Struthio camelus: one gene and its partners. The protein of the gene in region 2 purifies or fractionates together with the protein of the main gene of each other region. This does not show direct contact. Links are inferred from orthologs where the notes say so. Each region holds a gene or a part of one and is shown on either strand. Other genes may lie near its edges. The genes, in order: STAU1, PHB1, CANX and ACTB.

What was found.
Region 1: the proteins of PHB1 (region 2) and STAU1 purify together in Homo sapiens (affinity purification with mass spectrometry; 3 studies listed by BioGRID). This does not show direct contact. The link is inferred for Struthio camelus from reciprocal best matches to the Homo sapiens genes PHB1 and STAU1.
Region 3: the proteins of PHB1 (region 2) and CANX purify together in Homo sapiens (affinity purification with mass spectrometry; 3 studies listed by BioGRID and IntAct, with this or other methods). This does not show direct contact. The link is inferred for Struthio camelus from reciprocal best matches to the Homo sapiens genes PHB1 and CANX.
Region 4: the proteins of PHB1 (region 2) and ACTB purify together in Homo sapiens (affinity purification with mass spectrometry; 4 studies listed by BioGRID and IntAct, with this or other methods). This does not show direct contact. The link is inferred for Struthio camelus from reciprocal best matches to the Homo sapiens genes PHB1 and ACTB.

Annotation. Positions count from the first base shown.
Region 1 is NC_090959.1:9,433,805-9,441,165, reverse strand, and holds the start of STAU1 (double-stranded RNA-binding protein Staufen homolog 1), read right to left. Parts: upstream 3,010-7,361; 5' UTR 2,829-3,009; intron 1-2,828. UniProt on the Homo sapiens protein: Binds double-stranded RNA (regardless of the sequence) and tubulin.
Region 2 is NC_090966.1:5,145,091-5,152,154, reverse strand, and holds the start of PHB1 (prohibitin 1), read right to left. Parts: upstream 3,022-7,064; 5' UTR 2,935-3,021; exon of another isoform or gene 2,876-2,934; intron 2,476-2,875; 5' UTR 2,438-2,475; coding exon 2,350-2,437; intron 1,953-2,349; coding exon 1,791-1,952; intron 1,030-1,790; coding exon 887-1,029; intron 393-886; coding exon 276-392; intron 1-275.
Region 3 is NC_090954.1:6,908,313-6,915,222, reverse strand, and holds the start of CANX (calnexin), read right to left. Parts: upstream 3,020-6,910; 5' UTR 2,938-3,019; exon of another isoform or gene 2,839-2,937; intron 1,161-2,838; exon of another isoform or gene 905-1,160; intron 413-904; exon of another isoform or gene 262-412; intron 1-261. UniProt on the Homo sapiens protein: Calcium-binding protein that interacts with newly synthesized monoglucosylated glycoproteins in the endoplasmic reticulum. It may act in assisting protein assembly and/or in the retention within the ER of unassembled protein subunits.
Region 4 is NC_090956.1:4,852,719-4,859,893, forward strand, and holds the start of ACTB (actin, cytoplasmic 1), read left to right. Parts: upstream 1-4,158; 5' UTR 4,159-4,338; intron 4,339-6,014; 5' UTR 6,015-6,020; coding exon 6,021-6,143; intron 6,144-6,488; coding exon 6,489-6,728; intron 6,729-7,175. UniProt on the Homo sapiens protein: Actin is a highly conserved protein that polymerizes to produce filaments that form cross-linked networks in the cytoplasm of cells.

The DNA of each region.
Region 1 (7,361 bases), on a different chromosome or scaffold from region 2:
ACTTAGCACTAATTTCTTTCTGAAACTGGATACTTCACAATATATTGCATCTGAATAGTTGCTGACCCTTCAGTTACACAGCAAACACGACTAATTTTTCCTCATCAACAACTAACTCTGTTCATAAAGCAGGAAATTCCATTTACCCCTATTTCACATACACTCTAAATACTCACATTAACGGTAGCCTTATAATATATGACACAAAACTCTGAAACATTTACTTCTGCAACAGTGTTTAAAAACAATATCTAACTATTTATAATTGAATAACTTAAATAAAAAGGCACTACCAATTTTGCAGGCTTAAGGTTATTTATACAAAACATAAAACACGCTGGCTGAGTAACACTTTCTTTTTAGAAATCTTTTTCTATGATATTCAGGCAAGGCTTTGACTAGTGAAGGTACAACTCAAAGGCAGCATTCACTGAATAAAAGGATGAGGCTCAAAATTCATGCAGTTCATAATCTGCATGTTGCTTATTGAGTATAGGGAAGATGAATTTCCAAGGGCAGAAAACATTAAATATTAAGCAAATCAGTCAAGGAGCTAAGATATGGATCATTAACAAGAGAACAGGTGATGAAAAGCTAAAGTTTTCAGGTAAAATGTGAGGGAGAAAAGGGAACTAGCAGATGTGCATATAAACCAGGCAGTTCCAAACATGATGCAAAAGAATAAATCAGAAAGCAGTGAGACAATCATGAATAAAGACAAGTGGTTAGAGGCTTACATCTAGTTGAATTAATTAAATACTTTGCGATAGTACTAATATTTTTATTTTTATGAACTAGAACAGGTCTAAAAGTAAAGATACTGACTTGTTAAAATTATCTGACTACAGTTAACATACATAATTGATGCACATATCTTCTCTACTGTTCCTGTCATGTCTTCAAAAAAATCCAATAAAATAAACAAGCCTCTGATAAGAGTCCAGACTAAGCAATCGAAAGAATGTTTTGAAAAGTTTGTATATCCTCAGAATAAAGCTGCTGTTTTTCAGTGGGATCTGAGAGGCAGAGCACAGTTTTCAGTTTTGTTTTGGCCCTGTATAGTTAGAGTAAGACAATATCACAAATTAACTTCAATATATGAATATTTTAATTTTGACAAAAAATACTTTGACTGACTGGTGCTGAAAACAGACAGTCAAAAATAAGTAGTGATAAACATCATGAAAGATTTCGTACAAACAAGGAGTGGAACTTTAATGGAATTCTTCCTTGCATACATCGCATAAAAAGATTTTATAATGAAATTCTGATCCAAAAGTAGAAATGGAATATATGGCAAAGAACTCAACCCATCTACTCTTAAACTTTCACTTAGATAGGGCAGACATCCAGTTGATGTACAATAGTTAATATCTCTGCGATAGTTTGCACATACACATTTGTTGCCTATACAAGATGATCGATATATAATTGGAGATTACTTTACAACTTCATGGTCAGAGCTGCATCGTTAAAACCCAAGGTTTGATGTTCATTAGTATTAAAAAAAATGCATCTCTGCCAGTATGATCGGGCAATAACATAGTGAACTAGTTAGAAGGCAGATTTTATAAATATACTATCCCAAAAGTAGACAAAAGGCGGTCACTTCTGTTCAGATATTTCACTATGTTGCTGTATGAGATGTAAAGAGCAGAGTTTCCAGTTTTCCTCTGATCCTTTATAGTTAAACCTAGCCACCTTTCCCATGTTCCTCCTAGGTTTGCCTTAAACCAGACAGAAAAACAAAGATAAAAAAAATCCCAACACACAGACAAATCAGAAAACCGGCTGTCAACATTACTAGCTACAGCATTACCTAGGTAGACAGCTCCAATCAATCAAGCCCTGTATAACCCGCAGGACAGACAGATACAGCACAAACATTCAAAAGAAACCTGTTGCTGTCACATCTCCCCAAAAACTTAGCACCACGGGCAAAAGACAGAGGGGGAAAAACAAGCCAGCCTGTGACAGCCACGGCTGCCAAACCTCGCAGGGGGGAAGGAGAGAGTCTGCGGGCGCCGGTGCTCAGGCAGAGACGATGCTGCTAACGCCTGCAGCCTCGGTGTTTGCAGCATGACCTGCGCAGGAGGGAGGCTGTGGGACTCCGCGGCCGCCCCCGCCTCGAGCGCCGCAGCTGCCCCCTTTTGCCAGGGACGACAGACTGGTCTAGCTCCGACTACGGAGTTTTGCTGCCGCAACCGTTTGCCCCAGAGACTCTGAAGGAGCCTGTTACTGCTGTCACCTGCTCGGGGGGAGGAGGACGCCTGCAGGCACCGCTCCAGGGGGGCCGGGGAGCCCGGCAGAGCCGGGCCACCGCCCGCCCGGCCCCGGGGGCGGCCAGCGCGCCGCCAACGCTGTCACGGGCCGGCCGGCCGGGGGGTGCCGCCGGCCGCGCACCGCCGCCAGCCCCGTCCCGCGGCGCTCGGCGGAGCCCGCTCCCGCCGCCGCTTCTCCCGCGCGGGTCGGCGGGGCCCCCCGCGCCCCCGGAGCGCCGCTGCGGCCGCCGGGGCAGGGAGGGCTGCGGCGCCGGGGGCCGCGCTGCCGCCGCCGCCCGCTCCGCCGGGCAGGCCCGGCCCGCTCGGCGCCCCCCGCGCGGGCGCTGCCCCGAGCCGGCCCCCACGGGCGGCGGGGGCCGCCGCGCCGCCGGGAGCGGGGCAGGGCAGCGCCGCGCGCGGGCGGGCGGGCGGGCGGGGGGCGCGGGGCGCGGGCGCGGCGCGGCCCGTCCCGCCGCGGGGCCGCCCCCTGCCCTGGGCGCCGCCGGCGCGGCCCCCGCTAGGCCCCGCCGCCTCGGCGCCGGGGCAGCGGCGTCGCCTCGCCCTCACCTGGCTGCCTGGGCTGCGGCTCCCGGGCCGGCTGGTGCTGCGGGCCAGCGGGCGGCTCAGTCCATGGGCCGGGTCCCGGCGGGCCGGGGGGGGCGAGTCGCGGCGGCGGCGGAGGGAGGCGGCGGGCACAGGGCAAACACTAAAGAGAATGAGCGGGGCCAGCTCCGGCCGGGGAGGAAGTGACGGCACCGCGCCGGGAGGACGGAGTGGGAGGAGGAGCGGCCCAGTAGCCAATCGGAGACAGCCGAGCCCCCGCGGGCGACGCCTCCCGCCGCCCTCTCGGCCAATGAGCTCGCGGACCGGCTCGGAGCACCGCCTTCTTCGAGAGGACTACAACCCCCGGCGTGCATCGCGGCCGGCCTCGGGACGGAGGAGACTACACGTCCCGGCGTGCCCCGCGCTGGCCGGGCTTTCGTGCCCGGCCAAGATGGAGGCGCCGGAGGGAAGGAGCGGGGCTGGGCGGCTCCTCCGGGCGCTCTCGGCCGCCTCCTTGGCGGGCTCGGCTCCCTCCGCGCGGACCGGGGAGCCCCTTTGCGGGAGCGGTCAACGTTGTGCCCGCTGCGGCCATGCACCGGCACCGGCAGGTCTTTCCCCCAGCCCTTTAGTGCTTCGCGCTTCGTTTCTATTTTAAAATAAAGGCAAGAAGTGTATTTAAAATATCCCTTTTCAGCTTGCAGTATTGTATTTCACTGGCAATGGGAATCTGAACGAAAAGCCCCGCGCGTACTTGGCCCCCTCGGGGAAGCCTGGTCTGCCAGGCAAAAGAAAAATCGAGGCTGAAGGCACCAACACCGCTGCTGCCTTCCCATTGACTATTAGCGTGAAGGTATTTTCGCATAAGGGGTTAATAGAGAATGCCAGCCCGCGCAACTGTGAAAGATTATTTAAACAAACAAAAAAAACCCTCGCATTTCAAAGCGTGGGTGGGAAGGAAAAGCCGTGCTGAACCTAAGAAGATGCACAAGTGCAGGCTGTAAGTACAGGCAAAAAGCTCTGAGCAGCTATTGCCCAGGAAGAACCCCACACCCGGGGTGTTCGGTTGTACCCAACTGCCATCGTTCAGTCCAGCAGCTAACTGTGGTACTTTCCCGTTCAAGCACTACGCTTGAACCTGGAGAGCGTATGTAAAACGCATAACAAGCTAAACCTATTTGTTTAATTTTTATGCACAGCTTTAATCTACCCTGATCTTCACTAATCTCTTTGCAGCTATGTCCCCCTCTTCCCCCCCTCAACACTGCCGATAATTAACTGCCACTAACTTAACCTTGGCTCTCAGTTACTTTGTGATTGCTCGCTCTTGAAATCACTACCTGGAGTAAATTCACATGTGTTAGTTTAAGCCAAAAAGAAGATAGGTACCTATCTGTTTCACATTAGGAACGCAAAAATTCCAACATGCTGCTATTGAAGCCTGTGTTTTCTAGTAATTTTAGATTTGTCATATAAATTAAGCCATTAAATGCTGTTACGTTCCTTCAGATACAATCAATCCCTAGCTAGTGAAAGAGTGAAAACTACAGTAACAGCCATGTAGCTGACCAGTTAACCTCCGACATCGCGGGTTTCCCTTCCTGAGTCACTGTAGCAATCAAAATGCCCTACAAGATTTAAACAAACATTATCATTAGGCTTAAATATTTTAAAGAGAACATTTTCCTAACCCGTATGATTTTAAAGCAGTAGGCCTGTTCTTGTTATAACAAGTATGCACTACCAAAAAAGCTAGCAAAAATGCAATACAGTATCAAACAGTCCCCAGTCCTGCTAGAATAAGTCAATCCATGCTGTTAGAAAAAGATACTATGAGAGCTTTTTGTTTTAGAAATAATTTATCTCTCTTCATAGGTAAAAATACATTTTAAGTTACAAGGCTGCATTTAAACCCCGTGGCACCATTAAATTGCAAATCAGTAATTTCTGCCTCTGTTCAGTGAATAAAACGTGGCATCCAGCCCACCCCATCTATTAACCATGTAGCGTAATTCTACAGCAAATGCGAAGGCCTTCATATTTAGCGGGGAAGATCACAAGTACAAACATTTCAGCAAAAACTAATTAGAAATAAAAAACATTATACCTAAAGTTCCATATCCATCCATGTCTTTAATACTGGTATGGATGTCAAAGACACCATAAAGAAAATACATCATACACTTAAAATAATTGACAATATAGCATTTAAAAGACATTCTCCAGTATATAAGCATATATATATAACCCATATCACATTTAAACACCTCTTCATATGTTCTTGTGGTCTGTTGCATAATAATATGTGCTGTTAGATGCTTTAATTATGCCAAGCCAGCAACAGTTATATTTCAGAAGGAAACGAAACTTCAACTGTTGTATAATCATTACTGCAAGGCTTAATGATGTCTAAAAAAGAAACAGCATTTGTGCATTTTGTAGATTTTTAGGTGGAGATAGGGAAATACAAAGCTAGATTTTTTCAGACTGAATTATATTAAAAATTCAATGTTATGGGGTTTTTTTCCAGAAAATTGTAAGCACTGGGGTAGGAGCAGAACCTGCATAATTGGACCAAAAAGTATCTGCAGCCAGATTACAAAGTTGAATGTAGTTTAAAGCAAATATACATGTAATTCAAAAGTCTGAGGAACACTTGGCAGAACATCTCAAATACCCAACACATTTGTTCTTTCTTTTGAAGGATGAGATTTTTACTCCCCTAGTATGCATATGATTTTTACTTTTAAAAAATGTTACAAAAGACTTCCACTCTTCTTTATGCAGCAGTTAAACAAAGCTTTAGAGAGGGACAAAGAGACAGAGAAGGACAGAGACCTATTTCTAGCTAATAATTTGCAAAATATTTGATACTTTTGTTTTCTTGCATGAAAATTTTAAGGAAACAATACTGTAATTACAATATTTTCAGATGTTCATGTAGAAATCTGATACTTGTAATGCATATATTTAAATACTTCAAAATATCCCTTATATCAGGCACAAAACCAGATTTTTTTTTTTAATCAGGAAGATAAATATATGAACTAGCTTTGCTAAAACCCCTTTCATTCTGCTTTCCTGACATGTTACTCATGTGTAACAAAATATCTCTGTCACTTTCTATTCTTTTTAAGATTTATTACTTTAATAAAGTATTTACTCCTATATTATATGATCTCATCTTGAATACAATACAGTGAGTCTAGCACAAGCGCTGACCTCACATGAATTAGAAAATTATTATTTTGAGAGAAAAATTTTAGACGTTTAGTCACTCTGCAACCAGACGTCAACCTAAGTCACAGGGCTTTTATGTACTGGCTGGCACCCACTATTTTAGCCAGTATACCCCAGTATACATCTCAAATTGCCTCTAAATTAGATTAATGGTGATAATGACTTCATTTGATTATTAAAGGTAGAAAGCTAAGGGGGGGAAAAAAGCATTTATCCTGCCTTTATATACATGTTTAAATTTTCATAGAGAAGTCATGTCTAGAGCATATCTTCATTTCAGTTAACATTCTCAGTTTCAAAGGCAAATACCTGAAACACAGTTAGGGGAAAACATCTTTGCAATACTTCTCCTGAGGGCTGAAAGAACATGCATAACTCCTCTCCCAGTTTTTTTTTTTGTTGAAAGAATCAGCAAAAGAGATAGCAGGTTTAAAACAAGATACTATTCTTTCTATGAAGGAAAGATAAAGAGTTGTTTTAAGACAATAATCAAGGCATCCAAACATCCAGAGTTTTGGGACAAGGCAACAGACAAGCCATTTTATAGCACAGCGTACAGCTGTTTCCAAACTAGCTTTACATGAGCTACAGGAAGCAGTCTGGCAGAGGCAGTGTCAGGTGAGACAATTTACTCCACCCAAAGTAAAAGGATGCCTAAATCATGCTGCTACAACTACACCATTTCTAGTAGCCAAACCCACGTCAGCATATGCATGCTGTGCTGCAGGAAACATCTCTGTTCTTCAGAAGTTTCATCAAAACGTTTTCAAATTCATTTCCCAGCATTTTAGCAGCACTTTTGACAGCTTAAACTACATGCTCTTTAGACAGATGAAGGGAAGATCACCAAGTGGATAGACCTTTTCTGTGTAAGAACAAGAAGTGAACTTCAGCAGAAGGTGAAGAATTGGAGACAAATAGATTGCTGTGAAAAACTTTGAGCTGAAATCTCTCACGATGCAAACGGTTACCTTGTCCTGGCGAAAGACAGTATAAAGACCTGCTCTGACAGCTTTAAGGTGGCCTATCCTTCCTTCCCGGCTCTCAGGAAGACTGTTTTCATTTAAAGGTTATGGAACGAGCAGCAAAGTGTATGGAAGAAGCAGAGAAGTACAGTCTGTAGGAAGGTACCTTTAAGCAAGCTGTTGAGAGCCTGAAGAAAACCAAGTTTGTTGAAAGAGAGAAGCAGCAGAGAGAAGGAATATGCTCTGTTCCTCATCAGAGGATTTCAAAATGAAGCATCTGACTCACTGAGGGGATAAGTCTCATCTTAGCATGTATTTGGATGAGGAAACAAAGAACTAGAACTTCACTTTTGTA
Region 2 (7,064 bases):
GCTCCCTATTTTAACTACAGAAACCTACAATAGTGAGGTCAGCAAGAAGACAGTACAGCTGAGCCTTCAAGGGCTTTCTCAAGGTCACAGAAGGCCAGTGACAAAACCTGACATACTGACTTGAGCTGTAACCACTAAATTACATGCAACTCCAGACAAATAAGCATTTCACCTACGTCTAAAATTCTGTCCCCCTTTGGCCATCCACTGGTTCTGTTCTCCGCTACTCTTATCTGCAAGAAGAGAGAGAAAACCTGAAAAGGGAGAACTCTTACCAGGGACACATCATCTAGAATGAGGCCGAAGGTCGCTGCTCTCTCCGTGAGGTCTTCACTCACTTGCCTTGAGACCAGCTCTCTCTGAGTGATCAATTCTCCAGCATCAAAGCGAGCCTGATATTAGGATGGACAAAAATGAGAACAAAGCTTCCAGAAACAATAGATTTTTCATATTCTGTTTGTCTTTGCACCTGTAAGCCCCAGAGTTAATCCAATTTATCTTCCAAAGCTAGCAAACACTAAGCTACCTGTTCACTAGAACTAGGAGAAAGAATGAATGATTGCAAATTTAAGTGTGAGCTGGAGGGGAGGTTTCCCCCAAAGGGAGAAGCTAACAGCTGAGAACGGGTAACAGAGAAACCTCTTGCTGTCCAGACTACACCCAACTTGAGCCTTAAGTCAAGGCAAGCCGTCAGAACGGCAAAGAAACAAACAGCATAACTACAATTATCAGCTTTTCTGGATAACCCTTTGGAGCCTGGAGAGTGGAAAGAGAAGCTTTAGTCTGGAGTATTAGATATTCCACATGCTAGCAGGTATCTCACTGCAAAAAAAACAAGGACAGAAAGGTGACAGGCAGAGCCCAGCAGCTGTCGTGCTGTCCTTACCACAACAGACTTCAGGATTTCAGTTGTGATTGAAGGCAGGACACGCTCATCATAGTCTTCTCCAATACTTGTGAAAATTCGGGGTAACTGGGCGGTCACTGGTCTAAACAAGATACGCAACGTGATGTTCACGTTCTGTAGATCTGGGGGCAGAGCGGGGGGGGGGGGGGAGGGAGAGAGAGAAGCACAAGTTTAGTGGCAAACTGTGGGGACAAGAGATGTCCTGAAGTTGGCCTTTCCAGGGTAACTAAATGGGAAAGACCACACCCTCAGGCTTCTCTTTGCCGGCAGAGACAAGTTATTTTTACTGTCCCTTTCACCTAGGGATCTAGATCCTTCTTAAAAAGATAAGACTGAAGTTTCAGTTTGCTTCTGATGCAGGGAATTATTTGCCCTCCTGCAGAGGCAGAGATTTTGCATTTAAACGGACAACCTACTAAAACCCTGCAACAAGAAGTTGCTTAATCTGTTCTGTAACTAAAAAGACAGATCAATGACTCTGTGCCAGACTGGACTCAGCACACATAGGACCACCATGTCCAGAAGACAGAACCCTTACTCAGTGATTTTCTGTAAGGTTAAAAGATCACAGAAGTCACGACCATAGTAAAACTTCTTCTCGTGCCCCATCCACCCAACTGCTAACTACAAAGAAATCCAAAAGCAACATCAGAATAAGACACAGGATATAACGAGAGCGCTTGGATCACAGTCTTGCACGATATTCAGATGCACTGCTCTCTCCTCAGGGCTGATAAGCTGCTGAGCATCTTCTCTCTGCCACCTGAGGCAGAGGGAAAGAACACCTCTGAGGCAAAGAACTCAATGTCACGCAGGTCGCTACAGTGGGCACACACTCAGAGTGACACTACTCTGTTACAGTCGCCTGGTCGAGAACACTTACCTTTGCTGCCAGTGATCACGGGAATGTTACGTGGGCGAGATCGACAGTCAAAAATGATCGGTTTCTGTACCCAAGGGATGAGGAAGTGGGTACCTTCTCCTACCACCGTATCCTGGACTCCACGGAATCGGTCAAAGATAACAGCTCTGTGGCCCGCATCAACTAGAATGAAACAGCATGGTTTCACTGTTGTACTTGCACACCATCAGAACATTCTCCATGACAGATATCAACAGTCTGTCAGGATTAATTAAGGCCTTTTGCTGCAGGAGAGTGGTGAAATTAAGTAGATTGCTAGTAGCAACAAAGCAAAAGAGACAACTCAGCCACGACTCGACCTCTCGGCCTGCTTTCAAGGAGAGCATCTCATTGACAGTTTCTAGTGAAGGGACTCCGCAATCCTCTTGCCTACCCAATGCAGAAGGTCAGTATAAACCAGCACAGCAGAGTCTCATGCCTATTTTCCCCTGATGCCACTAATAATAAAGGCACAGAGCAATAAAGACATGGATAAAAAGGATATAAAATGAACGGGAAACACTCTCCCTCTCCCACTCACCATTGTAAAGAGCAGAGTTGACAACTCCACCTGCGACAGCTAACCCCAGGCCAAACTTCCCGATGCTTTCAAACAACTTCGCGGCCATTTCTCACGTCCAGTTCTAGCCCCTTTAGCGAGTCCCTCCTGCAAAAACCCCACAAGCTTGTTAAAAGTGCATGAAGCGAGGAGCCCAGGCAACTCTGTGTCTGCACCTACAGAGCCGAGGATTAACTCCCCCCTCCAAAAAAATCCAACCTGCACCCCCGACCCGACCCCCCCCCCTCCGGGCCTCCCTGCACCCCCAGCCCCCTTACCTCCCGGATCCCTCCCCCCCAGCCCCCCTGCACCCTCCCTGGATCCCTCCCCACAGAGCTTCCCCCACCCCCTCCAGGCCTTCCGCCCCCGGGACAGGCGCCCCTTGGGCCGAGGCCCCCTCACACACCCGCAGGCCGCCGCTCGGCCCCTTCGCACGCCCCACCGCGCCCGCGCCCCGGCCCCGGCCCCGGCCCCGGCCCCGGCCCCGGCCCCGGCCCCGGCGACCCACCGCGCCCGGCCCGGCCCCGGCCCGGCCCAGCCCGCTCTCCCTCCCGCAGCGCCCCTGACCTCCACATGAAGCCGCGGCCACCTGACCCGCCGCGCCTGCGCGTCGCGCCAAGACGTCCGCTTCTCATTGGCCCGCTCCGGACCTCGGCATTCTGGGAAGTGTAGTTTTCGCCGCCCCCGCTCCCGGGAGGCCGTGCGGGAAGGCCTACAACTCCCGGCGAGCCCCGCTCCGCCTCGCTGGCTGTGTAAAGCCGCTCTCCATTGGCCCCGGCGCTCCCGCCGTGCGCAAGGCGTTCTGGGAGCTGTAGTCCTGGCCGGGGTAGAGGGGGCGCACGTCGGGGCTGGCGCATGGGGGAACCGGGGTGGGGGGGAAGGGGGATCCCGGCATCCCGCCACCGGCTCAGGCAGCCCCAGGGCAGCTGCCGCCCCCCGGCTCGGCTGCGCCCCCCCCCCCACCCCGGCCCTTTGTGGGCAGACCCCTGCCATACGCTCAGTCCGCTGGAGCGGGAGAGGCCGGGCAGCCGCCAGCGTCCAGCCCGGGCTCCCCACGGACGGGGCGGGGGTGCCGGAGCGGGGGGACAGAGGCGCCTTGCGGCCGAGGCGGGAGCCGGGGGCCGCTAGAGGGAAGCAGCGCTCTGCCATCGGCTCCGCCAACCGGGCTGAGGGGGGGGGAAAAAGAGAGGGGACCCCCCCCACCCCCCCCCCGCTTCCCAGGCAGACCCCAAAACAGCCGCCTTCCCCCGCCTGGAAACCCCCGGCCGGTTTCGCCTTTAACGCGACGCCGCTGAGCACGGGGGACTTCGTTACCCCCGGCGGGCGCCGGCGGGCACGGCCGCACCCGGGAGAGAAAACCGCTGCTTAAACCCCGCTTTCTCCCCGACGCCCTGCGGGAGCGGCGGGTCACCCCGGGGTGGCGGGGGGCGGACGGGACGTGAGGATGGCCCCGGCGCTGCGACGGCCGCTTTCCGCCGACGGACGGGGCCCGGCTTTGCCCGGCACGGCCGCGGCAGCGAGCTCGCAAACCCGGCCGGCACGGCTCTTTTGTGCCTCGACAGCCCTGGGAAGCGGAAAGCCAGGAGGAAGAGGAAGAGGCGAAGGTGTCTGGGGACCCGGCAATTTTGGACCCCATCCAAAATGATTTGGGAGCCAGATCCCGGCACCCCTCTTCCCTAGGTGCCGTAAGGCTGAATTTTGGCTGCTCCTAACCCGCTCTTGGCTGCATGCCTCCCTCGAGGAATAAATCCCGGGAGCATCCGCCTCTGCCTGCGCCACGGGAACAACGTCCGCCGGGGCCGGGGCCGGCTCGGGTGCCTCTTCCGCCGGCGCGTCCCCGAAGGACGAAGCTGCCCCAGGAGGCGTCTCTCCGCTTGCAGCTAATCCCGTAACAACATCCTAATTGGTGATAAAGCCACGGCTATAAACACCCAGGGATTTACACCCTTCCCGCGTAAGATTCGCACACGGGGCACGGTCGCTACGGCAGGGCTGCGCGGACGCGGCGGCCGGAGGTCTGCAGCCCTCCCGGCTCAGCCCCTCTTCCGCACCGCGCGGCCGCCGGCGCGGGCCCGTTCGTTGCCGCCGTTTGTGCAGCTTCGGCCCCTGTCCCGCGCCGCGGGAAACTGTCTCGGCCCCTCTCCCGCGCCGACGCGCAGCGCCCGCCGCTCTCCTCCCACCGCCGCTGGGGCGGGAGCCGGTGACACCCGCCAGGGAGAGGGTTTTGGGAGCCCTTGTGCTTTCTGCGCTGCCCGGGCCGGGGCGGTGGGAGAAAAAAGGGCCTTTTGTGCAGGGAATATCCCGAGGGTGATTCAGCCAGGCCTGACGCTGGCGGGGCCCGCTGACACATCGCTTTGTGGCCGGGCAGGGGGGGCCGCGGCTCGTCCCCGGGCGCCGACACCGTCCCCGGCTCCAGGCAGGGGACGCAGCCGGCGGGGAGGGGGGGGGTCGCCCCGCCGGGGTGGCAGGGGCAGGTTGAGCGGAGGAAAATCAACCCCACGACAGCCCCGGCCGGAGCCGCAGGCTCAGGCGGAAGCGCGTTTCGAGCTGCGCCGGCTCGGCCTCGAGACGAGGAGCGAAACTAGTGTGTTTTCGCCCGAGGACGGAGGTGGGCGCCCAGTGATGGAGCAGGGCGAACGGAGCTGGAGCGGTGGGGGACGACACCTTCCTCGCCGCCGTCCCCGGAGCTCAGCCGCGTGCTTTGCCGCCCCGCGGGAGGCTGCTCCCCCAGGACCCTTGATCCTGGCTCAGAAGAAAAAGGAAATTTGGGTGGTGGGTGGTGGCGGGGGACCGTTAAGTGCCAATTCCTGCCCGGGGACGTGGAATCGCGGCGGGCCGGAGCAGTAGGGTGGCATCACCCCTTGTCGCTCCCAAACCGGGGCGCAGAAGCGACGCGCGAGCCCCACAAAAACCCTTCACGACGGCCCTTCGGCCAGCTCGAAGCTGCTTTTCCGGGAGCAGACGGTGCTGAGAAAACGAATCCCCCCCCCGGCGCTTTCCGGCCGGGAGCGACCACACGAATCCCGGGCAGGTTTTCATCTTCGCCTCGATCACAGCTTGTTTCCCCCGTCTCCTCCTGCCTCTCCAAAAGACCCCTTGAAAAAGCAGCGGCCGGCCGCGCTCCGGGCGCTCACAATGGGATTTCAGAGCGCCGGGGCCGGCCGCGTTTCGGAGCCGACATTCCTCCACGAGACAAAAACCCTCGGCGGACCCAAGCGCCGGCCTCGGCGGCAAGAAGCGGCTCTTTGTCCTGGGGCGGTGAGGCCGGGGCCGGGCAGCCGGCGCTCGCTCCGGCCGCGGCGGCCAGCGCCGCGAACAAAAAGCCTCCTTTTCTCCAGCCCTCCCAAATCCGGCGTCGCGGGGCTGGCGCTGCCCTGAGCGCACCCGGGAAAAATTTATGGCATGGCATTTGCCAACCGGGGAGAATCGGAGCGACCCCGGCGCTGCGCTTCCCGGCCGCTCCGCTATGCAGACGGGCATTGAGCTGCCGGCGCGTCCCAGCCGCCGCGCTCCCCAAAAACGGCTGTTTGACTCGGCGTCCTGCCGACGTCCAGCTCTGGCCCCATCCGTCCGACGAACCCCTTTGGCCGCTATTTTCCCGAGTGGCTTCCTGCGGCCGGGCAGCGAGAGCGGCGTAACCAGCTGCTGCGCGCGGCTGCCGCGTGAGCATCGCCGCCGAAAGGCTGGTGAGGGTCGGGCTCGACCCGCGCGGGCCGGGAACCCGCGGAGCAGAGAGCGCGTATGCGTTTTCGCTTGGCCGGAAAAGCTTCTTTCCTTCCTCGTTCAGCTTTGCAGGAATAGCGCGTTCCCGGCGCAGGCTGCCTTTCAGCATACATCTGTTCCGAAACGGGCGTCAAGCGGACGACGTGCTTTTCACAGAAATGCCGTTTTCCCCACCTAAAAACCGTGCGTGGTTTGCACAGCAAATCTGCATCTCTCGGCAGAGCGAGAGCATCCTCGCGGCCCCCCCGCAGGACCCGGGCTGGCTCCTCCGTCGCCGCACGGCCGCCGGCCGCGCCGGGAAACGGCTCCCACCTCCGCCGGCCGCTCGGGGACCGAGCCCGAACTGGCCGCGTAAACCGGTTCATCCGAACAAGCGCTGAAATCAAATTAGTTAAACTACGTTAAAGCCCTGCGAGGACACGGTGCAGAGCGCAAACGGCCTTAATGTGATTTCGGCTGGCTTCGCGGCCACAATTTGCAAGTCAGAGAAATCGAATTAAGGCCGCTTGCGTTCTCGGCTGTGTCCACACAGGGCCTTAATGCGGTTTAATTAATCTGCTTTAAAATTGCGCCTGTCTTTCATTTGGGCCAATTTACCCGGCTCGCCCTGGATAACGGAGCCCCCCCGCCGGGCCAAGAGCCATTAGCCCTGGGGCAGATTTGGGGTACGGCCCCAGGCTGGAAGGTGCTGGGGTCCGCGATGCTGAGCCCCAGCCGTGGGCTTGCTGCCACCCTGAGCGGCTCCCGTGCCCCGCGCTGGGGTCCTGTGCCCCGCACCGGGGTCCTGCACTGGGGTCCTGCACTGGGGTCCTGCGCTCCGTGCTGGGGTCCTGCACCAGGGGCCTGTGCCCCACACCGGGGTCCTGCGCCCCTCACCGGGGTCCTGCACACCATGCTGGGGTCCTGCACCAAGGTCCTGTGCCCCGTGCTGGGGTCCTGCACCCCATGCTGGGGTCCTGCATCGGGGTCCTGCG
Region 3 (6,910 bases), on a different chromosome or scaffold from region 2:
TTCCCCTCACCCTTCACTGTGCACAACCTGGCCACTCAGCTGTGCCAGGGTAACTGTTTACACAGCCACATAGTGGACTAATACCTGTTTTAGGACAGTTACAAGTTTTTCCTGCTGTGTGACTTTAAACTCTCAATCAATCTCCTAGTCCAAACCAGCATACAAAGGTACAAAGAGTTGTAGCAGGACAAGCGATGGCACTAAGATAGTAAGCAGCCATGGATAAAGGAAACTAAGCTCTTGGGAGCACTGTCAGCTTACTGTTGTAGTTCACATGCATTTCTATCTTCTTCACTTCTCAAAGACACAGCTGTCTTCAGGCAGACTTGGGAGATTTCCAGCCAAGCCAAACAACCAATTTTGTGGCCAAGTTCCACCACTCCAGAAACCAGTAAGTTACCTGTCCGCTCCTCTAGCGGGGACATAATAAAAATTATGTTCATATATGCAGCAACTCATATGATGCAGACAAGACAAATATTTTCCCTTAAACGCTTAGCTCTGCAGTCAGACATTTTCAGAGTTGGGAAGGTTTTGCCTTTAACATGGCAACTCAGTGAACAAACAAGGCTAAACTAAAACTGCCTTGCTTATAACAAGCCAGAGGCTGGAGCGCTGTGTGAGGGGTCCTTTTTCAGGAGGGGGTGGTTAAGATACACTGCTACATAAGACTTTATGATAGTCTCCTCCTAGAGAGGATTACCTAAACCTTCTGCTACAGAGAAGGATAGCTCCACAGAAATAACTGCCTTCTGTTTGGATTGTAAGGAGCATAAACCAGGTAAGAGATTAGCTATGAAAGGTGACAGCAACAATGCTTATTTTAATAAGCACTTCAAACATGTCAGTTTCTAAAAATAACATACATCAGCGCAGACATAGTAAAGGAGAAAATACCACGTACCCTTTGTCAGCAAGCAGATCATTCATGCAGAACTGGAAGTCCTTGGAGGACAGAGACAGAACTGCAAGGTTTTTGGACCATAAAACAGATGGGCTGTTAGGGGAATTATGGTAGGTGGGGGGAGATCTGGAGATGCCTCAAGACTTTTCAGACTGTCATGCCTAGGAATGAATTCACGTTTGCTCTGCAACAGAATGAATTCCAGAGAGAACAGGGTATGGTCATGATCCTTTTCTCACCTTTAATTTTTCTGCCCCTAGTAATGAAGCAAAAGGAAGGACTAAATACAAGTTTTAATGTAGTCTTAGTAAAGGATTTATTCATTTATTTAGAGGAAGTGCTGGGACACATCAAATAAAAGGGTACTTTAACGGAAGTGGTAAGCTTTCTTAGTACTCTGCATTAGGTTTCCCTTCTTAGGAAGGCATTAGATGCCAAGAAACAATGTACATCTTGTACTCGGCTCGTAATGTAGGATGTGTAGCATATTAGCATTCCCTTCATAACTCCTCATCTTTCTGGATTTTTTTTGAACTAGAAATATTGAAACTTAGGGCAAACACTACATTTAACTCAAAGGTTCTTCCAGTTGCTTCTAGTTTTGTTTACTATTTTGGATAAACTTATGTAGCATGACCAAACCAACAGTAGGCTTTGGAAAGGAGTCTCTGAAGTCATTTCAGTTGCAGTGTCTAGATTGAGTAACATATCTTATTTACCGTATTGTCTTATACTCTGTTATACTTCCCCTATTTACATAGCTGGTTCCCTCCACAATCAAGTCACCTGCAGCCTCTCTCGTTCTATAGCCTAGAAAGTTCTCAAACACAAAGCCAAATATGAAAGTTCATTCTTTAGAAGCAGGACAGACAAGAAAGCAGTAGACGACACTCACTTTAATTCAAAGGTGAGGGGTTTTTTTTTTTGAAAGTACACAATCTGAGTGATAAACAAGAACTAAGACCTCAGTCATGCACGCTACACACCCAACACAGAAACAATATTCAGCAGCTAAGCCAAAGTATGCATTTCAAACCCTCAAAATCTTCAGTCTTTGCTGTTAAAAAGTCTTCTCTTCTGTAGTTCACCTTTGGCCTCACTCACGCCTTTGCACCTACCATGCCTTTGCCACTTTTTGGGCCTCTAGTTCTTCACCTTCATCTCCCCCTTTCCAGAGGCTTCTACTTCCTCTCCCCCAGCACGAATCATGCCACACACTATGGTCTATACCGACCCCCACCCCCAGCGCTGCAGAGCCACCTATTTAACCTCAGCGTTTTGGCATTTCCAGGTAGTTGAAGACTATTTCCCTCTTGTCATTGCCGACATTAACGCCACAAGCTAGATAAAACCCAAACCACATGCCAGCCCATCCATCTCCACCCCCCCCTCCTTACTCCCTCTTCCAAACCATGCCTCTGTACGTCGTCGTCCCCCCCCCCCCCGGTAGGGGAGCAGCGAAGAGTCACATCACCGCTGCCCGGCTGCGGCCGTGCCACAGGCCCTGCCCAGCCCCTACCCGCCTCCCAGCCCAGAAGCTACCAGAAGACCCGCTGCTCCCAGCCAGGCCTGCCCGCGGCCTGCAGCCACCCAGAGCCCACCCCGAGCCGCACGGGCTCCCCCAGCGCCCCCGCTTCGGCTCTCGGGGTCCCCGGCTGCCCCCCCCGGCCCCACCGCAGGCCCCCCCGCCGCCTACTACATCCTAGGCCCAGCATCCCCCTCCCCCCACCAAGGCGGGCTCTGCCTGCCCCGCCACCTCCCTCAGGGCGGCCCGGCTTCCCCACACCCCGCCAATACCCCGGCATGCCCCGCGAGCGGGCCCGCTCTCCCCTTCCCCCCCCCCCCCCAGTCACGGAGCTGCCCCGTCTCTAGCGGGAAGGGCGAGGGGGGGGGGGAAGGGGAGGGCAGCCCGCGAGGCGCGAGCTCGCACTCACCTCACCGCGCCACGCGCGCCCCCCGACAGCGCCAACCGCCGCAGCCCCGCGCGCCCCCGGCCTCTCCCGCGGACCTCCCGTCCCCTCCTCTGCCTTCACCTCCGTCACGTGCCTGCGGGCTCAGCGCCGCCGCCGCCGCCCGCCTATCTACCGCGCGCCAGCCCCGCCCCCGCCGCGCCCCGCCCCGGCTCCCCCATTGCCCGGCAGCGCGCCCGCCCGCCCGCCCCACCGCCCGTCCAGCTCTCCGATTGGCTGAGGGCGCCGCCGCTCAGCGGTCCGCCCGCCTCAAAACACGCCCCAACGGCGCTTCCCCTCGTGGAGCGCTTTTATTGGTCGGCCGGGTTGCAGGAAGTGCGCAGCGATTGGCTAGCTGTAGGGAGGCCGTTGATATGTGGGTGGAGACCCAACGGATTCCTTGTCCCTGGGCGCTGCGGGGCTTAAAAGGGCAATGGCGGGGGAGGTGGGAGAAAGGCGTCCGAGAGCGTCCGCCGTCGCCCAGGCCCGGCTCTGCCAGTCGTAGCCCGCTCCCTCGCACCTCCTCCGCCGTGGGTCCTGGCCACGGCCCCGTGCCGCAGGGACTGCCTGGCCCGGGGCAGCAGGGCAGGGGGCTGAGCAGGGTTCTCGCCTTGCCGCCTCCCCGGCCCAAAACGCTCCCCTCGCCCGCGGGGTTTGGCTCAACCCTCGCCGCGGAGGAGCGCTGTGTCTGCTGGTACAGCCGGGCCTGCCGGGGCGCCTCACCGCAGAGCCCCGTGCTGCGTCCCTGCGGGGAGGCCCTGGGCCGCTGCCTGTCCCGGTGCTCGGGCTCCATCAAATTAAACACCGGTTTCATCTTTGTCTTCTATTTCTTTAACCTCTTGGCAGGGCTTTTAAAGTTTATTCTTTGTACTATACTGACTAGGGTTTTCTGTTTTAAAAAGTGTCTATTTTTTTTTGCTCAATTGCAAGCTGCGGTTTTAAGAAAACCACTAAATGTAACATATACTCCAACCTATTTAAAACATGAAGTACCTTTCAGGCAGCCTCCTCTGTGAAGGCCTTGCGTAATACCAGAAGTTTTAAGCAATGCTGTGTTGCCTAAATTGACAATCTGTTTCTGTATAAGTGAAATGCCGTGTAAATGCTAAACATCTGTATGTCTCAATGACTCTAGAAGCCCAGGGAAATGAGGAAATTCTGTCCCAATTGTTTGGAATAGGAAGGGAAGGCATGAGGCGGGTAACCGGTTTGCAAGTAACTGAGAGAACAAGAGGAACGTTCAAGAGTTCCCTTGCCTCCTGCTCCCCGTACCCATGGCGGTGTAAGATAGGGATGAACAAGGACCTAAGATGAGGAAAGCAGACTCATGCTATCCTATCAGTAATACCACTTTAAGGTATATCTAAACTGTTTCACATGAGTACAGTTAAATGGAAAGCTGTAATCTAAACTCCCCGGTTTAAAGCAAGCTCATGTATGGCCTGCGGACTACAGCCTGTTCCAGCAGATACTAGGTATTCTGTAAGAATACCAAATTCAATATTGCTAAGAGGGGTGGGAAGGAGAAAGAAAGAAGAGGGATTTTTTTTGTAAACATAAATCTGTTTTGAGTTGACACAATGAGTCAGCAACATAAGTCTCCCCACAGAGAAATTTCCACCACGTTAGGACAAAGCAAGCAGGGACCCAGCGTTTAGAAATAAGGCTCAGCATAAACGAACTCAGCAAATCCCTGTTTACACTGAAGTTTGGAATTAAACGCTCACATTTTTCTGGAAAGCCACTAACCTGGCTCCTAAACCTCCCTGTAGACTGACTGACACCCAGAACCTGCACAGAAGATGCAAGGCAGACAAGCAGAGAAGCAGCCACAAACAACGTAACAGCATGTGAGATACCAAGCACCTTAAAATAGCAAACTAAAAACACCACAGAGGAATACTTTAAAGGGTAACAAAGACGTATAATTTAGCAAGCTCCCTCCCCAGTCTAGGCAAAATCCAACTTCCCACCAAATATCCTTCAAATATCCCTCTTTTGAAACAGGTTATTCATGCCTGTGAGTTACTTAACTGTGACTTGCAGGATAACACCATGCTAGGCTGTTGCTCTGATCAGCTCAAGCACCAGGAAGTCAGATATACCCCCACACGCCCGTCACACATGCCTCCCCTTTCTCTCTCCCGCCACCCTCTCCCAAAAAAGACGGCACCGCTTCCTTTTACAACCTGCTGAATCATGGGGCAGGCAGGAGGCCCTGCAACCCATTCCTGCCTGTTCTGCTTTGTCATGGCGTGGAGAGAATAGCTCTAAGTTAAAAAACACGTAAGCTGCTAAAAGTACATCCTACACTGTGATTTTATACACAGTCAACACAAGACAGATAGATAATCTGGGGGAAAAAAAAAGAGGGAGAAAGAGAAGAGAAGAAGCATGCACAGAGGTTTAAGTGCTTTGGCAGCTGAGAACATGGTATTTTTAGCCCAGTTTGTGCAATGCCAGGGACAGGGGCGATGAAGGAAAGAGGGATGGCAGAGACCACACAGCAAACACGACGTTGTTGAAGAAAACCATTTAGGTGTGTGCAGGCTTGACCACAAGAGATTTGTTTAGATCCACTGATACACTCATGGGGAGCGTGCTGTTCTCTCATTTTGGAAGTAAATTCTGAAAGACATAAAACGGGCCGTGCGGCTAAGCTAGAAAAGCCTGACGTTTAGACTCCCCGTTCCGGGTACGTCGGTCTCAGAGGTGAAAGGCAGTCCTCGGTTTACGAGTGAATGATGGCTTTGAACAGCTGCCCTATAGGGGTACTTTTCTTGCCCTGACTGTTCATCAGGTAGAGAAGCCTCCCCCATTTTCAGCAGGTACTTTCTGTTCTTAAGTCTCTGTAATGCGTTGCCACACAGCTCGAGTTCTCTTTGCGCTTCAAGCATTAGTAGATGATCTTTTCAGATATCAGTCTCCTTTGGAAAACTGGCAAGTAGCGAGTGGAAAATAAAGCAAGCCAGAAGTAGCAGGACATTAGTGACACTACACTGACAGAGAGCAGGCAGTAAATGCAGATGACCAGCAGGAGAATGCTGACTTTTGCTCTTTCAAACTTTGAACTGCAGGAGGGAAGACAAGCCCACGTCCCTATACAGGGCAACGTCCATGCGCTCTGGTACGCTTTCCACGGAAAACGCATTTCTTTACAATGAGATATCTGGAGGGAACCCCTTCCGAGAAAAGAGCAGGGTAAGATTCACTGACGTTATCAAAACAGAGGGGGCCTAAATGTCTAAAACAAAAAAATAAAATCCTGTCATTTTCAAAGGTAAGAAAAGTGAATGTAAGTAAATGTTTTTAATTAATTGTAATAAAGGTAGGAGAGTAAGTAGCAAAGAGAAGCAGCAGCGAACCAGAGTCAGAGCACTGGCAGATGGATGGAGGGAGACAGGGAAATACAGTAAGGAAGTGGAAGAAGATAAGCAACCCATCTGATATCATAAGTGCAGAAGAGGCTAGGAAATGCCCCTGGGAATAGGAACTTTACAAAAAACTTCTGGTACCCAGAAGCTCAGAAGTATCCAAGAAAAGACAAGAGGTGCAAGTCCGGTCTGGACATAGGATATGGCAATCCTGATGGTTTCCTTAGGTTGTATCACAGCTTTTACAGCTTGCGTGGGCATTGCGCCAGGTTTTTAGGCACAGTTTGGTTCCAACTGTGCCCCTTTCCACCAGTTCTTTCATAGACCAGAGCTAGATCTGCTTGAGAGTGTCCTTCAGACGTCCCCAGAACTGTGTCCTCCCTGAGGGTGTGACACCTAACTTAACGGCATTTTTATCTGACCATAGCTGCTACACATGCAGCAAGAGTTCGACTTCAGGTGTCTTTTGGTGGCTTGAGAGCTGTGTTTTGTTGTTCCCTCACTGGGGAAATGCAGCATACCCTTTAGATGCAAACATGGCACTCTACCTCAGCCAGGTAGAGCTGCAAACTGCCCGCGGTAATCACAGACTATTGCCTTAGTGGCCTAAGAGCACCAGTGACTCTCAAGCTTTGTATTGCAAAGGACAGCAAGATCACTCCACTGGGAACCATGACCCAGAG
Region 4 (7,175 bases), on a different chromosome or scaffold from region 2:
GTTACAGGCACAGGGAGAAGCAGGCAGAAAAGAGAGTTCACATTTTGTCCCATGAAAGCAGACAAAGTAAAATTGAAGGAGTGGGAGGTACAGGGCAGGAAGCAGAAATAAAGGCAGGACCGCACACTATCGGTGCCCAGAGCCAGGCCTGACCGTATCAGCCAGCGAAGGGCAGGAGGAATCCTCCTCCAGATGGTTTTGTCCGGAGCCAGCGTGAGCTGAGCTCTGCAGCACAGACCCAAGGACAGGCAAGGAGAAGTGAAGCAAAACAGGGAAATTCTGGAGTCTGCTTTTGGTTTCAGGTTGGCTGGCGCTAGGAGGTACTCCATGGCCGTTGCTGTCCTCATGGACCTTTAGAGCAGCCTTGGCAGACCTCGGCACTGAAAAACCGCTTGGGGGGTTTCCTGTGCTTTCTTTTGCTCTCTCCTCTCTGGGTTACGGCAGGTCTTGGCTGTGCAGAGGCTGTCTGCACCGTGACCCGTGTGCCCTGTGTGCTGAAGGGTAACACACTTCTACTGAGGTTTTTGGCAATAGGAAACTGAGACCGCCTTGTGTTTTCACGGCACGTAGTTTTGACTATTGCCTTAGCTCAGATCTCAAACCCTGAAGGTTGCTTATTGGAAGTCTTGTCTCCATCTTCCTTCTCTCTCTGCTAAGACGTAGAGGCATAACTTCTTTTCCATTACTTTTTAGTGGGTGCGTGAAAAGCTGGGCTCTACATGAGCTTTTCTCCCAGTCTGATGCGTTTGAGAGGGACTCGGAGACAAGCCAGGCCCGAGATGGCAGAGGACGATCACTGTGGACCTTCGCTGCTCGCTGTTCCTCTTTCTCTCCTTTCGGTTCTCGTGACACACCCAGGTACAGATTAGAAGAGAGCCCTGAATGCAAGACCAGAGGATCCTGGCTCAGTCTATCGCATTATGGTCTGTTTAGACCTTGAACACAGCAATTGGTGGGTGGCCTTGCTATCAAATTGCCTTTACGCTCATCACACAAATCTTGGCCCGTCCCAACCTCAGAGGAAGTGGCAGTGCCTGGATCACTGGCTGTTTGCTGCGGTTCACATCCTGCGATCCCCATTGGGCCGAAAGTCCCACTGCCTCCAAAAGACATGAGACCTGGGGCCTGTGTTATTGTGCTCCGGATGTCGGCAGATTGATTGCTTTCTGATTCATTCTCATAATTAGGAGATTCTAATTGCCTGGTAATCTCCCGCCCTGCTTAATGGGCTATCTCCTATCTGTGGTTCCCCAGCTCTGGTAGGCCTTACCTGTTCACCAGGATGCTGCAGAGAAGGGCTTCAGCGGATGCACGCCTGGTCCAGCTAACACAGACGCTCCCAAGCGCCCTGTCCTCCCGCTCACCCCGAGGGCTGCCCACTTCCTGGCCCTCACAGCACCTCATTCATACTTTTGGCCCTCAGCCCCTGCTCCCATTAGCCTTTGTGTGCAGGACGGAGCAAAGCGATTGCTGGCTGTGACAGCCACCTCCCCATGCTGACCTCCCGCTGACATTTCCCTCCCCGTACCCATCACCCCGATGCGTTTGTAGGAGTTTTTGCTAGTGGTTGTTTTCTGCAGGCCCCTCATCAGCGCATTCAGGGACCCCGTTTTATCCCTGCTGCCCCCAGAGCCACCAGCTATACCCATACCTTGTGGCTCCCCTTATCTGACGTATAATCTTCTAATTAATAATCAGCCTTTTCAAAGTGGAGTGCAAACATTAATTAATTCCCCGTGAGGTAGGTAATTAACAGTGATTATTCCCATTGTCCTGCAAGGGAAGCTGAGATACAGAGATCTGGCACCATTCAGCCAAGGTCGCAGAGAAAATGATCTGCAGCAAGAGCATGTTAGCCCCTGTGCCCCTCCTGCCTGCGCGGCCCTAACAAAAACCTCTCACTTTGCTGGACTTGATCTTTCTTGGCTGAACACTTCCCACGAGGCCTGAGGGGATGGGACATGGCTCTGGGGCAGCCCATGGCGATGGCCACCTCCAGCATTGAGGGGACGGGCACGGCCCTAGGGTGGCCCATGGTGATGGCCACCTCCAGCATTGAGGGGACGGGCACGGCCCTAGGGTGGCCCATGGTGATGGCCACCTCCAGCATTGAGGGGACGGGCACGGCCCTAGGGTGGCCCATGGTGATGGCCACCTCCAGCATTGAGGGGACGGGCACGGCCCTAGGGTGGCCCATGGTGATGGCCACCTCCAGCATTGAGGGGACGGGCACGGCCCTAGGGTGGCTCATGGTGATGGCCACCTCCAGCATTGAGGGGACGGGCACGGCCCTAGGGTGGCCCATGGTGATGGCCACCTCCAGCATTGAGGGGACAGGGCATAGTCCTAGTGTGGCCCATGGTGATGGCCATCTCCGGCGTTGAGGGGACAGGGCATGGTCCTGGGGCAGCCCATGACAATGGCCAGCTCCAGCAGTGAGGGCACGGGTCCCAGGGGCGTCACCAGGTTCCCGACTCTCTCCTCCCGGCTCTGTCCCCTCCGAAACACCGATCCCAGATCGGCGCTGGCGCAGCCGGGGCAGCTCTGCGGGGAGGAGGCAGCCAACACGGAGCCATGCCCAGGCCGCGGATGGCTCCCTGGGGCTGGGGCTGCCGGTCCCAGTCCGTACCCCGTGTCTGCTCTCCACTCGTCTCTCCTCCCTCACATGAGGTAATTGCAAAACTCCATCTCAGAGGCTTTTGCACGGTTCCTCCTGCTGCTCTCTCCTTTGTTTGTCCCGGGGAGCACCGGTGCGGCTATCCACGCTCACCGGGAGACAGAGCGCTGCGCTTCCCCCTCCCTCCGGACAGGGACCCCGCCGCCGGGACGGATGCTGGCGGTTTGGGGAGGGCAGCCTGGTCCTCCAGGCCCTAACCCGCACCCGTCCTCGCCGGTGGAGCCCCCACGGCGGCTCCCCGGTGACAAAGAGCAGGCGGGAGCCGGCTGGAGAGCAGCAGCCTCCCTCGTGCGCCACCTCCCTGCTCACGCTGCCTCACCTGGGGCCTCTCCGCTCAGGACCCTCTCTGAGATGCCAAACCAGAGGTGTCCCATGAACAACATGCATTTTTAGCTTCCCCTCCCCCGCCCCGGGGACTTTTTCTGTTGTTACTGCTTTCAGCTAGACTGGATATTTAAAGCACCTATGCTAAAGCCGGTGTGCTTCACACTGGCAACAGATTGCAAGTTGATGCTGCTACTTTACTTACAGGGCTGCTTAATTAACTTGATTAATCAGCCCATGTTTGTACAGTGTTCTGGGGATGCAAAGCCCTCTGTCGCTGCTGGCCGCTGTTTTGCTGATGGTGCCCTCGCCTTGATTTTGAACTGGTATCTTATCGTAGTAACGAGACACAGGATTGCAGAAACGCAGCCCGGAGAGGGACAGCCACGTATCGCGCCGCACACCCTTCCAGCAAGCCTTGCCCCACCTGGATCAAAGGGGGGGGGGGAACCAAATATTGCCCAAATCCAGCCAAATCGCTGCTCAGGCAGTGACCCCCGTGCAGAGGGGCAGGCATCCCTCGCCGGCCAGCCGAGCCGCTCGGCTTGACTCAACGCCTTAGTCAGAGCCGGGGGAGCGTTTCCTTCTTCCAGGTGACATGTCCGCAGCGCCTTCTCCCTTCATAAAAACATAGTCGTGTTTTAACGGTTTTCTGAAGGGGAAGGCAGCGTTCGCCCGGCAGGTTCACGGGACGGACCGGCCGCAGCGGGTCGCGAGAGCTCTTCCCCGCCGCCTGCTGACACCAGCAGCGCACTTGGCCCGAGATCTAACTTTCCACCGGAATCCGGTCCGGATCGCCGTGACCCTTCGCCCGGCGCCCGGGCAGCGCGCTGGGCAGACAGACAACGGGCCCCGCCGCCCCGCAGAGACACCCAGCGTGGGGGGGCCGGGGCCGAGGCGGCCCCTCGCTGCGGCCTTTCCCGGCCGGCTCCGCTTCTTTGTGTTGCCGGGGGGGGACAACGCGGACGCCCCCCGCCCGCCCTCCCTCCGCTGGGCCCACGCGGGGCGAGCCCCCCCCCAGCCCCACACCCCTCCGCGATGTGTGGTGAGGGAAAGGAGGGAGAGCGCGGGGGGGGGGGGGGGAGCGGGGGGCGCTGCCTCGCGCGAGGCGCGGCGGCGCGAGGCGGGGAGGCGCGGCGGGGGCCAATCAGGAGGGCGCGCTCCGAAAGTTTCCTTTTATGGCGAGGCGGCGGTGGCGCCGGCCCTATAAAACCCGGGGCGCGCGGCGGGCGGGAGTCGCTGCGAGCTGCCTCCGCCTCGCGTGTGTGTGCGCGCGTGCCCTGCTCCCGCCTCGCGCCGCCCGCCCGCCCCGGCTCTGACCGTGCAACTCCCCAAAGGTGAGCGGGGCCCGCGTGGGGGGGGGTGAGGGGGGCGGGGGCCCTCCCCGCTGCGTTTCCACAGCCCTCTTTCCTTCCCTCCTAGCGCGCTCGTGTTGTGTGTGGTGTTTCCCCCCCCCCCCCCTTCAATCCTTTTCCTCTTTCATTTTCTCTAATTCAGCCTCAATTCCAGCGGCGAGCTGAAGTGGCGAGGGGGCTGCCCTCCCGTGAGGGGGGAGTGGGTGGAGGATGAGGGCGGCGCGGTGCTCCGCTGCCGGTCCTCGCGCTGGCCGGGCCGCCTGGCGGCGTGGCCGTTCGCGGGGCGCCCTTTGTTGTGAGGCGGCGGTGGGGAACCGCCCGGTTTGGGCGGGGGAAGGGGGGCGCCGCAGCTGTTCTCCCCCTCACCCCGGGGAGCCTGCCCGGTTGTGGAGAGGGCTGCTGTGGGGCTGATCTGCCTTCTAAGAGGATTTCTCGGGGGCGGTGGCTGCGCCGGGGGAGGGGGGGGAGAGTGTCTCGCCTGGCTATTGTGTCTCGCCCAGCGGGGGGATGGGGCGGAGGGGCTTTGTCTGCGCTGTGCTCCCCCTCGCCCCCCCTCCGCGCAGCCCTCTGAGGCCATGGGGGGGAGCCGGTGCCGAGGGGGTGCGGTCCTCTTCCCCCCAAAATCCAGGCGCTGGGACGCACGGGGGGAGCTTCGGCGCTACCGGGCGAGGGCTCCGGCCGCCCTCTCCCTCGGGGGCGAGGTTGTTGCCCTGACCCACACGGGGGACGGGGAAGAGCCCCCCGCCCCGGGGGAGCTGCGGTGCCCTAGCTGGGGTCGGGGACTACACTTCCCGGCGTGCCCGGCCCGCTGGGCCGGCAGGGAGGTTGGCAGCGGCCCCTCCTCCCCGCGGATTAAAAAAAGGCGCTTTGAGAAGCGCCTGAGCTGAACTCGCCCTTCCCGGGGCGGGGGTGGGAGGGGGCCAGTTGTGTAACGCCGCGGCTCTTAATGCCCGGTGCGCTCTGCGCCGCTGAACCGGGGGCACCCGCCCGGCCAGCGGCTTTTGGGCCAGGTGGCTGAAACGAAGGTCGCCTCGCTTCCCCGCCCCCCCCCCCCCTTCGAGCCCGCGGGGCGGCGGCTCGGGGAGCGGCGGAGCGCGGCGGGTGCGTTGGCTGCGTCGCGGCTGCCGGCGCAACTCGCTCCGCCGGCCGTGGGGCGGTGGGGGTGGGGAGGGGGTGCGGCGGCGCTGCCGTGTGCGCGCTCGGGAGCGGCGTGCCCGCGGAGGGCGGGGCCGGGGCGGGGAGGGGGCGGGGCCTCGAGCCGGCTGCCTGCCTGCCTCCCCTCCCAGCGCTGGCGCGGTGCCGCGCGCCCGGCTCGGCGCGAGGCGCGCTCGATCCATTGCCTTTTATGGTAATACTGCGCGAGGGCGCGGGGACTTCCTTTGTCCCAAATCTGTGCGGTGTCGGAGCCTGGAACGCGCCGCCCCCTCTAGCGGGCGCTGGGTGAAGCGGTGCCGCGCAAACAGGAAGGAAATGGGTGGGGAAGGGCCTTGGTTGGTGGTGTGGTCTGGGGCGGCCACCTGGACACCAGTGGCTCTGCGCTGCGTGGGGTTTTCTCTCTCCTCCTGCGGCTTTGGAGGAGGAGTCCCCCTGCTGAGACCTTAGAGGCTGCTGGTGCATGAGTGGCGGTGCTCACTGACCTGCTCTCTATCCTTTCACAGCCAGCCATGGATGATGATATTGCTGCGCTCGTTGTTGACAATGGCTCCGGAATGTGCAAGGCCGGTTTTGCTGGGGATGATGCCCCACGTGCTGTCTTCCCATCCATCGTTGGTCGCCCCAGACATCAGGTATGGGGCTGGGCTGCTACTTTGTTGTACAGAGTAAAGGAGCTCTCTGTAGAAACAGTTCCCTTAAAGGCAGTAACCTTAAAGAAGCCCTTCTATTTGTGTGTAGTGCACTGGCTTCTGTGGAGCATCAGTAATGGGTGGGGGGGGGGAGGAGGAGAAATATGGCATCCTGCAGAGCTCTCCTGTGGTGTTCAGCAGTGTGTTGGGAATTGACTGAAGGTGTTTCCTGATGGAGTGGGGACAGGAGAAGAAAAATAATGAGAGGTCAAGCCCTTTTAAAGAAAAAGGGGGTTATCCACCCAGTCAGGCTGGCCCTTGAGTTTAATTGCTTTGTTTGTTGTGCAGGGTGTGATGGTTGGTATGGGCCAGAAAGACAGCTACGTTGGTGATGAAGCTCAGAGTAAAAGAGGTATCTTGACCCTGAAGTACCCTATTGAACATGGTATTGTCACCAACTGGGATGACATGGAGAAGATCTGGCACCACACTTTCTACAATGAGCTGAGAGTAGCCCCTGAGGAGCACCCTGTGCTGCTCACAGAGGCTCCCCTGAACCCCAAAGCCAACAGAGAGAAGATGACACAGGTATGTAAAACCGAGCTTGGTGCTAGAGCAGATGTTGTTGCAGCCAGCTTTCCTCTTCCCTGTTGTCCTCTCTGCACCTTCACCACTGTTCTCTCCTTTTTGCCATCTTTACAGGGTTTTCCTTTCCTGACCTGAGTCTCCTCTTTGCTGGACCTTGACAGGTTTTGTTTGCTCTTCTAAGCTGGCTTTCTCTGAGACTGAACTAGCAACTTGTCTGACTGCTGTTTCTGACTAGACACTAATCCATTTACCAACCTGGAGTGACTACTGTAGTTACTTAGCATTTGTTTGTTCCTTGCTGTGATGCTTGAATGGGCACATGGTGGTGGTCTTCTCAGGCTCTGACCTGGCAGGCCTGGGTGGATGCTAGGCAAGATATAAGCACTGACACCACCTTCCAGAGGGGATGAAGTGTCTTGTCTAGGGACATGGACTTCTGAGTAAAAC